Linked DNA regions of Bombyx mori. The protein of the gene in region 1 interacts with the protein of each later gene in a pairwise test. Links are inferred from orthologs where the notes say so. Each region holds a gene or a part of one and is shown on either strand. Other genes may lie near its edges.

The links.
Region 2: the proteins of Rad51 (region 1) and ubiquitin-conjugating enzyme E2 interact in a two-hybrid assay, tested with the Caenorhabditis elegans proteins (2 studies listed by BioGRID). The link is inferred for Bombyx mori from reciprocal best matches to the Caenorhabditis elegans genes rad-51 and ubc-9.

Annotation. Positions count from the first base shown.
Region 1 is NC_085131.1:10,828,474-10,832,885, forward strand, and holds the start of Rad51 (rad51 homolog), read right to left. Parts: upstream 2,926-4,412; 5' UTR 2,730-2,925; intron 2,077-2,729; 5' UTR 1,801-2,076; coding exon 1,717-1,800; intron 1,178-1,716; coding exon 978-1,177; intron 607-977; coding exon 459-606; intron 1-458. Other genes in the region: kelch-like protein 26, read left to right, coding at 3,376-3,483, 3,650-3,799, 4,345-4,412.
Region 2 is NC_085114.1:7,031,760-7,035,131, reverse strand, and holds ubiquitin-conjugating enzyme E2, read right to left. Parts: upstream 2,122-3,372; 5' UTR 1,955-2,121; coding exon 1,889-1,954; intron 1,818-1,888; coding exon 1,734-1,817; intron 1,610-1,733; coding exon 1,347-1,609; intron 1,123-1,346; coding exon 1,056-1,122; 3' UTR 545-1,055; downstream 1-544. UniProt on the Caenorhabditis elegans protein: Accepts the ubiquitin-like protein smo-1 from the aos-1-uba-2 E1 complex and catalyzes its covalent attachment to other proteins with the help of an E3 ligase such as gei-17.

The DNA of each region.
Region 1 (4,412 bases):
GACCTTACAGTTCTAATATTTTAAATGAACATTTATGACTATTATTTTTTTTTTTATTTTTATTATTAGTATTATTTTTTTTTATTTACTAACAATCACACCACGTTAACTAGTCCCGTGATAAGTTCGTAAAGAACTTGTGTTAGAGGTACCCCCTTGTGTAGTGACCATGTCACTTACCACTACACCAGACGGCCGTTACGTTACCTATATTATACATTCATCATCAACATCATTCTCCTGCCCTACTCCCAGTAACCTGGGATTGGCGCAATATGTTTTCTCCTACCATACCTCTATCATAAACCATTTCTTCGCTCACTTCCGCTCTTATATGAAGTCACTTACACATATCGTCTTTTATGCAATATTACACATTATCACATATCATTATAGTATACATTATTAATATTTATTATTATATACTTTTATTGCAAATTGGTTTAATTCAATTGTACCTGGCAGGTGACTGCTAATGTGTGACATAATTGGGTTTTGCCAGTACGGAATTCACCAAATATTTCAGTTATAGAACCAGTTTCTATACCACCTCCCAGTAATCTATCTAATTCCTTTGAACCAGTAGTAAGTTGTATTATTTCAGCCCTGGAAGAATTCAAACAATACTCAATGTAGATTTGGTTTAATTAAAAAAATCTAATACAAGTATTAGCTGCAGTTATTTTCTGTGTCAAGAATATGACTATACATTACTAGTTCGATACTGGGATTTGAGCTGTGTCCCTTATGTCAGGTCCAATAATTGTGTCATTATAGCCTAAGGTAGATACATAGACATAACAATTTATGTAACAAAGACGGGGTACAAATCCTGCAGGAAGGTACTAATTTTTTTGCTTTTTTACATACTTTGCATGTGTTAAATGTTTTCCACAACTTTGTACTAACCTTAGCCATATTGGCGTTTCATTAATTAATAATAAAAAATATAAATAAATAATTTTAAAGGTACCTACCTCTTTTGATGAAACTCAGTAGCTGTTGTAAATCCCATTGGCACCAATTTAGATGCTTCAGCTAATATTTTATCTGCCTTCGCTTCAGATATCCCTTTAATTGTGATTAGCCATTTTTTTGGAGCATAGGCAACAGATTCAACAGTATGATATCCCGCTTCCTCAAGCTTTTTTATATCTCCTGATGTGATGCCATTGCCCTAAAATAAATTATTCCATATTTTTATTATTTAACAAACAAATTATCACAATCCAAATTTAGATATATATATGATGTACACAATGTTGCAATGAAGTAAGGTTGAACGATTAAGTAGCATCAAATGCAATACAACTGAGAATTTGACTTAATATGAGCATAGACTCATGTTGTTCTTACAGAACGTTTTTGTGTCTTCTGGAGATCTATTTGAAAATTCTTAGAGCAGATAAACTTGACCCTCTTTTACCCTTGTTTTTTCTTTTCTTGAGAGATCTTTTATTTGGAATGTAGATATCTTACTCTCCAAGGCAGGATATGTAGATTTACTTAAGCATAAATAGATAGGATTCTTAGGAGCACTTTATTATCATCCAATATGTTTATTTATTTATTTCATATACACATTAAAAAGAAATATAGTTAAGAGAATGGAATAAATTAGAATTTATCTACAGTATAAGTTGCGCATTGTATCCAATAAGTCAGTTCAATCCAGTAATATTTGTAAGCAAGTTATAGCTTGTCACATGACGTCACCTCTAATTTACTGATCAGCTGTGGCCCGCATTCGTCAGCATCTTCATCCAAAGAAGTCGTAGTTGCTGAAGCAGTGGTATTCATTATTGTCCGTGGCTTTCAAACAATTACCGGCTCATTTAAAAATATTCAAACTTCAGTTGCTTATAAATAACTTTACAAGGTTAGGTGTCTTTGGAGTACACGATTTGGATTATAAAATAATTTTAACTAATTTTTTTTTTATTGTTTGTTAGAGCAAACTTGTAAGTAACATACGCGTTAAAATTTCAATCACTATTTTTATTTTTAAAGTCGACACTGAAGTCTGAAGACATCCGCTTATTTTTTTAAGAGATTTTATGACCTGGTAACTAAAACCTTTAAGTCATGTCTTAATTTAGTTTATATTCTTATTTTTATGAAAAATGATAATATGAGGCCTATAAAATCAAAGGCAGCTAAATCCAAGTCTGTCAAATATTCAGGTAAACTGCAAAAATCAGCCCTAAACACGTCATTACGGATCCTCCCGATCCATCGAAGTACTGCTCTTGGTAAGGCCAGTGTTAGCAACACTCCCGGTTTGAGAAGCTGAAATAGCTTTGTTCGGATAGCTACGATATTCTTTAATTTAAAGCACATTTTAAGCACATAAAGACTGAGAATATTACTAATAATCTGAATTTTAAATGATAAAACTTCGTTTATTAGTTCTTAGTACAGAGTAAAAATAAATTTTTTGATCTGAATTTGTTAGAGATTTAGCTGCATTTGTTATAACATGAAAACACTAAAGCGTGTCCAACTAACTAAACAAGATAGCGCCATTGTTAATCCATTTTGCGACATTGAGGCGTTTAGCTGCCTTTGATTTTATAGGCCTCATATGGAGTGAAATAAAATGAAATGAAGATGATTAATTTGTGACATTAATCAATTGAGATGAAATTAAATGAGATGAAATGGGATGAAATATATGATGGGATGAATATGGGATGAAATATAATCTCAGAAAAATGGTGGTCATTTACTGAGATTTTTTCAGTGGACTTTTTGGAGGACCCGGAGAAGTTACGTCCAGCGGCTTTGTTTCACTTTCCCACATTTGTGCACTTTTACAGATATGAAACAGTTAATAAACCACTGCTATTACACATTTAAACCTGAAGAAACACTAAATAGACAAAATGAAACAAATCACCCAACTTTACTCCTCGCGTTCCCGCCAAAAAGTCACATCCGCTTAAATGTCAAGATCAATCATAGATGTACACATGCTGGCCGTTTTCCAATTACAGCACAAGAGCGCATTATGCGGCATAATGCTCAACTAAGCTTCAGCATAATTCGGCATTGTGCGTCACTGAGTCACATTATGCTCTGTAATTAACCTTTACTTAATGGTAGTTTTCTAATTAATGTTTAATAATGGTGGTTTATTAACTATTTAGTATCGGTGAAAGTGCACAAATGTGGGAAAAGGAAACAAATCTACTGGACGTAACTTCTCGGTATCTTCCAAAAAGTGAAACGGAACTACCTAAATAACCGCCATTTTGTTGAGACTATATTTCATCCCATATTATCTTGTTTCATTTAATTTCATTCTAATTTATTAATGTCTTAAATTAATCAACTTCATCTCCTTTTCATACCTTCGCCTTTCCAGTTTGAAAAATGGAACCTATTACTCAAAATCAGCTGTTAGGTGCAACCACTGGTCTATGGGTGCAACTGACAAGTGACAATTGCTCCCTGCGTTGTCGTAAACATAGAAACACGAATGTAGGTAAACTAGGTACTTATTAACTCCATGAGGTAAACATAAACATACAGAATACCGTACCCCACTGCCAACGAATTTATTTAAATTTTTGCGGGTTAGCTTTTTGATAAAATTGATTTAACTCTATTGAACATTTATAACATATGATTATTGGATTTTAATAAGGAGATGGAGGACACTCAAGAAGTAACACTTTTAATAGAAAATCAGAGATTCACGGCGAACAAAAATGTTTTGTGCGAGTACAGCGACTATTTTCGCGCAATGTTCAGTGGAAACTATATTGAAAACGAACGACAGGAAATAAAAATTGATGTAAGGAAAATTATAAATTATGTTAGCTAAATTAAATTAATGTATAAAATGACAAACAATTAAAACAATAATTATGGATTTAACTCTATGAATAATCGCAAAATGTTTAATTTTTAATCATAATTATCTAGTAGTAGTGGGTAGTAAATTGATAATTTTGCGATTCCTTGATGTTAATGGTACCTCAATCATACCTCATTGTGGAACGTTTGGTGAGGGTAGGCTGTTGACAGCTAACTATTCTATTTATAATATTCTATGTATAGAACGTACCGTAGACGTAGTGTGGCTACCCACACTAGCTCCCTCGCCTCCCACACGTTGGACAGACCACCTATTGAGGTATGCGGGATCTGCTGGACGCAAGCAGTGCAGGCCGATCATTGTGGTTTGGGAGAGGCCTATGTCCATTTGAGGACATCTGTGGGAATAAATATCTACCTACAATATGATAGTGTAACTTAAAAATAAAAAAGGACTGTAAACAAGAAGAACTGTAAATTACTGAATATTAAAAAAATTACTCTTTCTATATCCACTTCCAGATGGTTGATGCATACTCAATGAACATGATACTTCAATACATGAGAATAGGTTTGATAGATCTCTCTGA
Region 2 (3,372 bases), on another chromosome or scaffold:
TTGATTTGAAAATGGGTTATTAAGTGTATAATCTATGGGGTGGGCGTCCCTTAAACTCGTATAACAAAATCAAGTCTTCGAACTCATATCTCTAAGTTAGTCCTGGCATTATTTGGCAAGTTCAATGGGTTCTAATAATAGAAAATACCATATTAAATAGTTTCAGTTATTACTTAAAACTAGTTGGGTCGTGATCGTATAGTTCGCCTGTCTCTCACCTTTTGTATTTTGAGGTGCCTATTCACTACTAGATGGAGGTTTTTGTAGCTAATTTTTAATTATATCTGTCATCAAACTAAATAATGATTGCGTTTAAGCTGGAATAAAACAAATATTTGTTTAACTCCCAACTTTAATGAATATCAGCATGTGAAATGAAATATCTGATGTCAACTAACCATTTTGATAAATAAATAAAGTTATGAATTATTTGTTTTCCAAATAGTTACTCTGAACGGCTGATTAGAAAGCGCTGACTTTGAATAGTGAATGATTGTGAAAATAATCTGAAAAAATTTTAACTTAAAAATACACAGTAAATTGTAGAATTTAAATATTTATTGTTCATTAAGTCTAACATAAGATACAAAAATATTTTAAAATAACATAGATTCGAAATGTAACCGTATATTTTGAGAATTACAGCAACATGTTTGTATATTCGGTTGTAATTAAAATCTTTGATGCTTTTTGCTTGTTAACATTTCTGTTATTAACTTAACAAATAAATAAATACAAGTTAGCCATAAAATGATGAATTCATAATGGCTTCAAAATTTTCCAGAATTAAAATAACTAACATTAGCATAGTGTTGATTTGGTCTGTTATTAAAAACTTGCATTTACTTCAAAATTACTTAAATCTATAGTTTAAACCATCACTGCGTACTGTGTGGATTAAATACTTTTGGAACTGGAAAATACCATGAAGATAATGTTATAGCACAATCTCCAAAATAGCGTAGTGTTGCTGTTTTAATCTCCTGTCTTCACATTTATACTGCTTTTTAGGCAATGGCTTAGCTCATTAACGCTCCATTGTCCCATTCTGATATTTACTCAGCAGCAGCCATTGCACGTGCCTGCGCTCTTACTCGCTTGTCATACTCTAGCCGATTTTGACTGTAACAATAAAATTTTATTTAATATTGAGGCATACAAGTTTTGTAGGTCACAGTAATTAAATATTAGTATCACAATATGTGGATAGTTTCGTGATATATTTTCAGTAATATAACAAATACATATATTACAAAAAAATTCAATTTTTACAAAATTAAACATTATAAAACATAACAGTTCTTTAAATGCAATACGGGTATTGAAAATGTTTATGTTTAACTTACCAATAAATTGTGTAGGCTTCAGCTTGCGCTGGATCTTTTACGTTAGGCTCATTGAGAAGATCTTGAATACCCAACAAAATTTGCTTTATTGTGATTGCTGGACGCCAATCTTTTTCTTCATCAAGCAGTGACAAGCACACCGTACCTGATGGATACACATTGGGGTGGAACAGTGGTGGTTCAAATTTGCATTTTGGAGGACTTGATGGATAATCATCTTTGAAGATCATACGTAGTTTATACAGCCCACCTTCCCATGGAGTCTAAAAAGAAAAACCGGTTATAGTTTTAGAACTTCTACTACCGTAATTTACTATGCTTAAACTCAATAACTTTAAAACTGCATCAATAAGAAACAAGAAGTTTTCACGATATAGAAATACTAACCCCCTTTTTACCAGGTATCGCACATTCCCAAGTCATTAAATTCAATGAACCATCTGGATTCTTCATAGGCCTCGCGACAAAACCCTGAAATAGATGAATAGCTTATTTATTTACGAAAACATAAATCAATGTGTTTTCAACAAACAAAAACTTACAAAGGGATGGTCCTTACGCCAAGCTTTCCGTTCTTCAGCTAAACGTGCACTTGCTATCCCTGACATTTTCTACAAAAATAACTCGATTTATGAGCCGAGCTTCAATCAAGGGCTATTCTTAATGTTGGGCGATAGATTTTACTTATAATCGAGCTAAAACTAGAACGAAATTACAATAAAAATAAATGAAAAAGCGCGAAATAGCGTCCCTTAATTTCAGAGCGGTCGACAAAATTGTAGTATAGACTACAGATAAAAAATGAAAATAATCGATTCACTTTTTTTTCTTTTCTGCTGTAGGAAGTTAATAGTGTTGCTGTTGACATTTAATATTAATTTAATTTTAGCAGTAAAAACGGGTCTTAATTACGACGATAGCCGAAATTCAGTCTAATTAAATGTTTCAAAAAAATTACACAAATATTTATGAGCTGTTTTTAAAATGCAATTAATCTCTCTTTTATCTTTTTTTGCAAATGAAGATACCACAATTAAAATTACTTTTGCGACTTAGGAATGACTCCGTGTTAACGAAAATTGTAAGACCAAAATAGGTATTGGACGAAATGGCTAAGGAAGCCGGACACAATGTAATGCGCCTTCCACCCTACTATTGTCAATGCAATGCCATAGAATCTATTTGGGCGCAAATTAAAGGTAAGGATTTAAATAAATGTATTTAATAATTTATTTTTACCTATTTTAATATTTTATCTGTTGCTATATTAACACGTAAACCTTTATTTTAGATTGCGGCTCGTAAAAATATCGACCCACTTAGGGCCGGATTTAGACTCCGCTCCTGGGCAAAAAATCCGCCCCAATACTGGAATTTTACCAAAAATTATAGTTTATAACTATTTTTTTCAAAATTAAATAAGTAATTTCTTGCAGAAACTTTATCATATGTTATATATTCCAAAAACATAAATAAATATTTGTTTTTTTTCTAACAATTATAAATTTTGCACTAAGGGTGACTCATAAATATTAAATGAAAAAAAAAATTAAATTTCTTTAAGTCCAGAAAATGGAAAAATCGATTATTATTTTAAATGTTCAAGGAAATAAATTGACTAAATAATTTTGATTATGAATTTTTACCTAAAGTGCCAAAATTATAATTCACAAATAATGGATGAATTCAATTTTTTGTATTATCAATTAAACAGAAAATGATTAATTAATAGAATTAATTTCAAAAATTTTACTTCCAAAATTTTGCCGCCCTAAAAAATTGCCGCACTGGGCACTTGCCCCGACTACGCGACTGCCCCTAGTGTAAATCCACCACTGAGCCCACCATTTACTGCAAACAAAATGCTGTCATTGTTGCAAAAAGCTTGTGATAGTGCTACTGCCGCGAATTAGGAAGGTTAGGTTTTACGAACAAAAAATTAGTTTTTCGCTGATTGGAACAGAGACACACATATCGATACCATCATAGATAACCAAATTATAATAAATACCTTGTGTTTTTATCG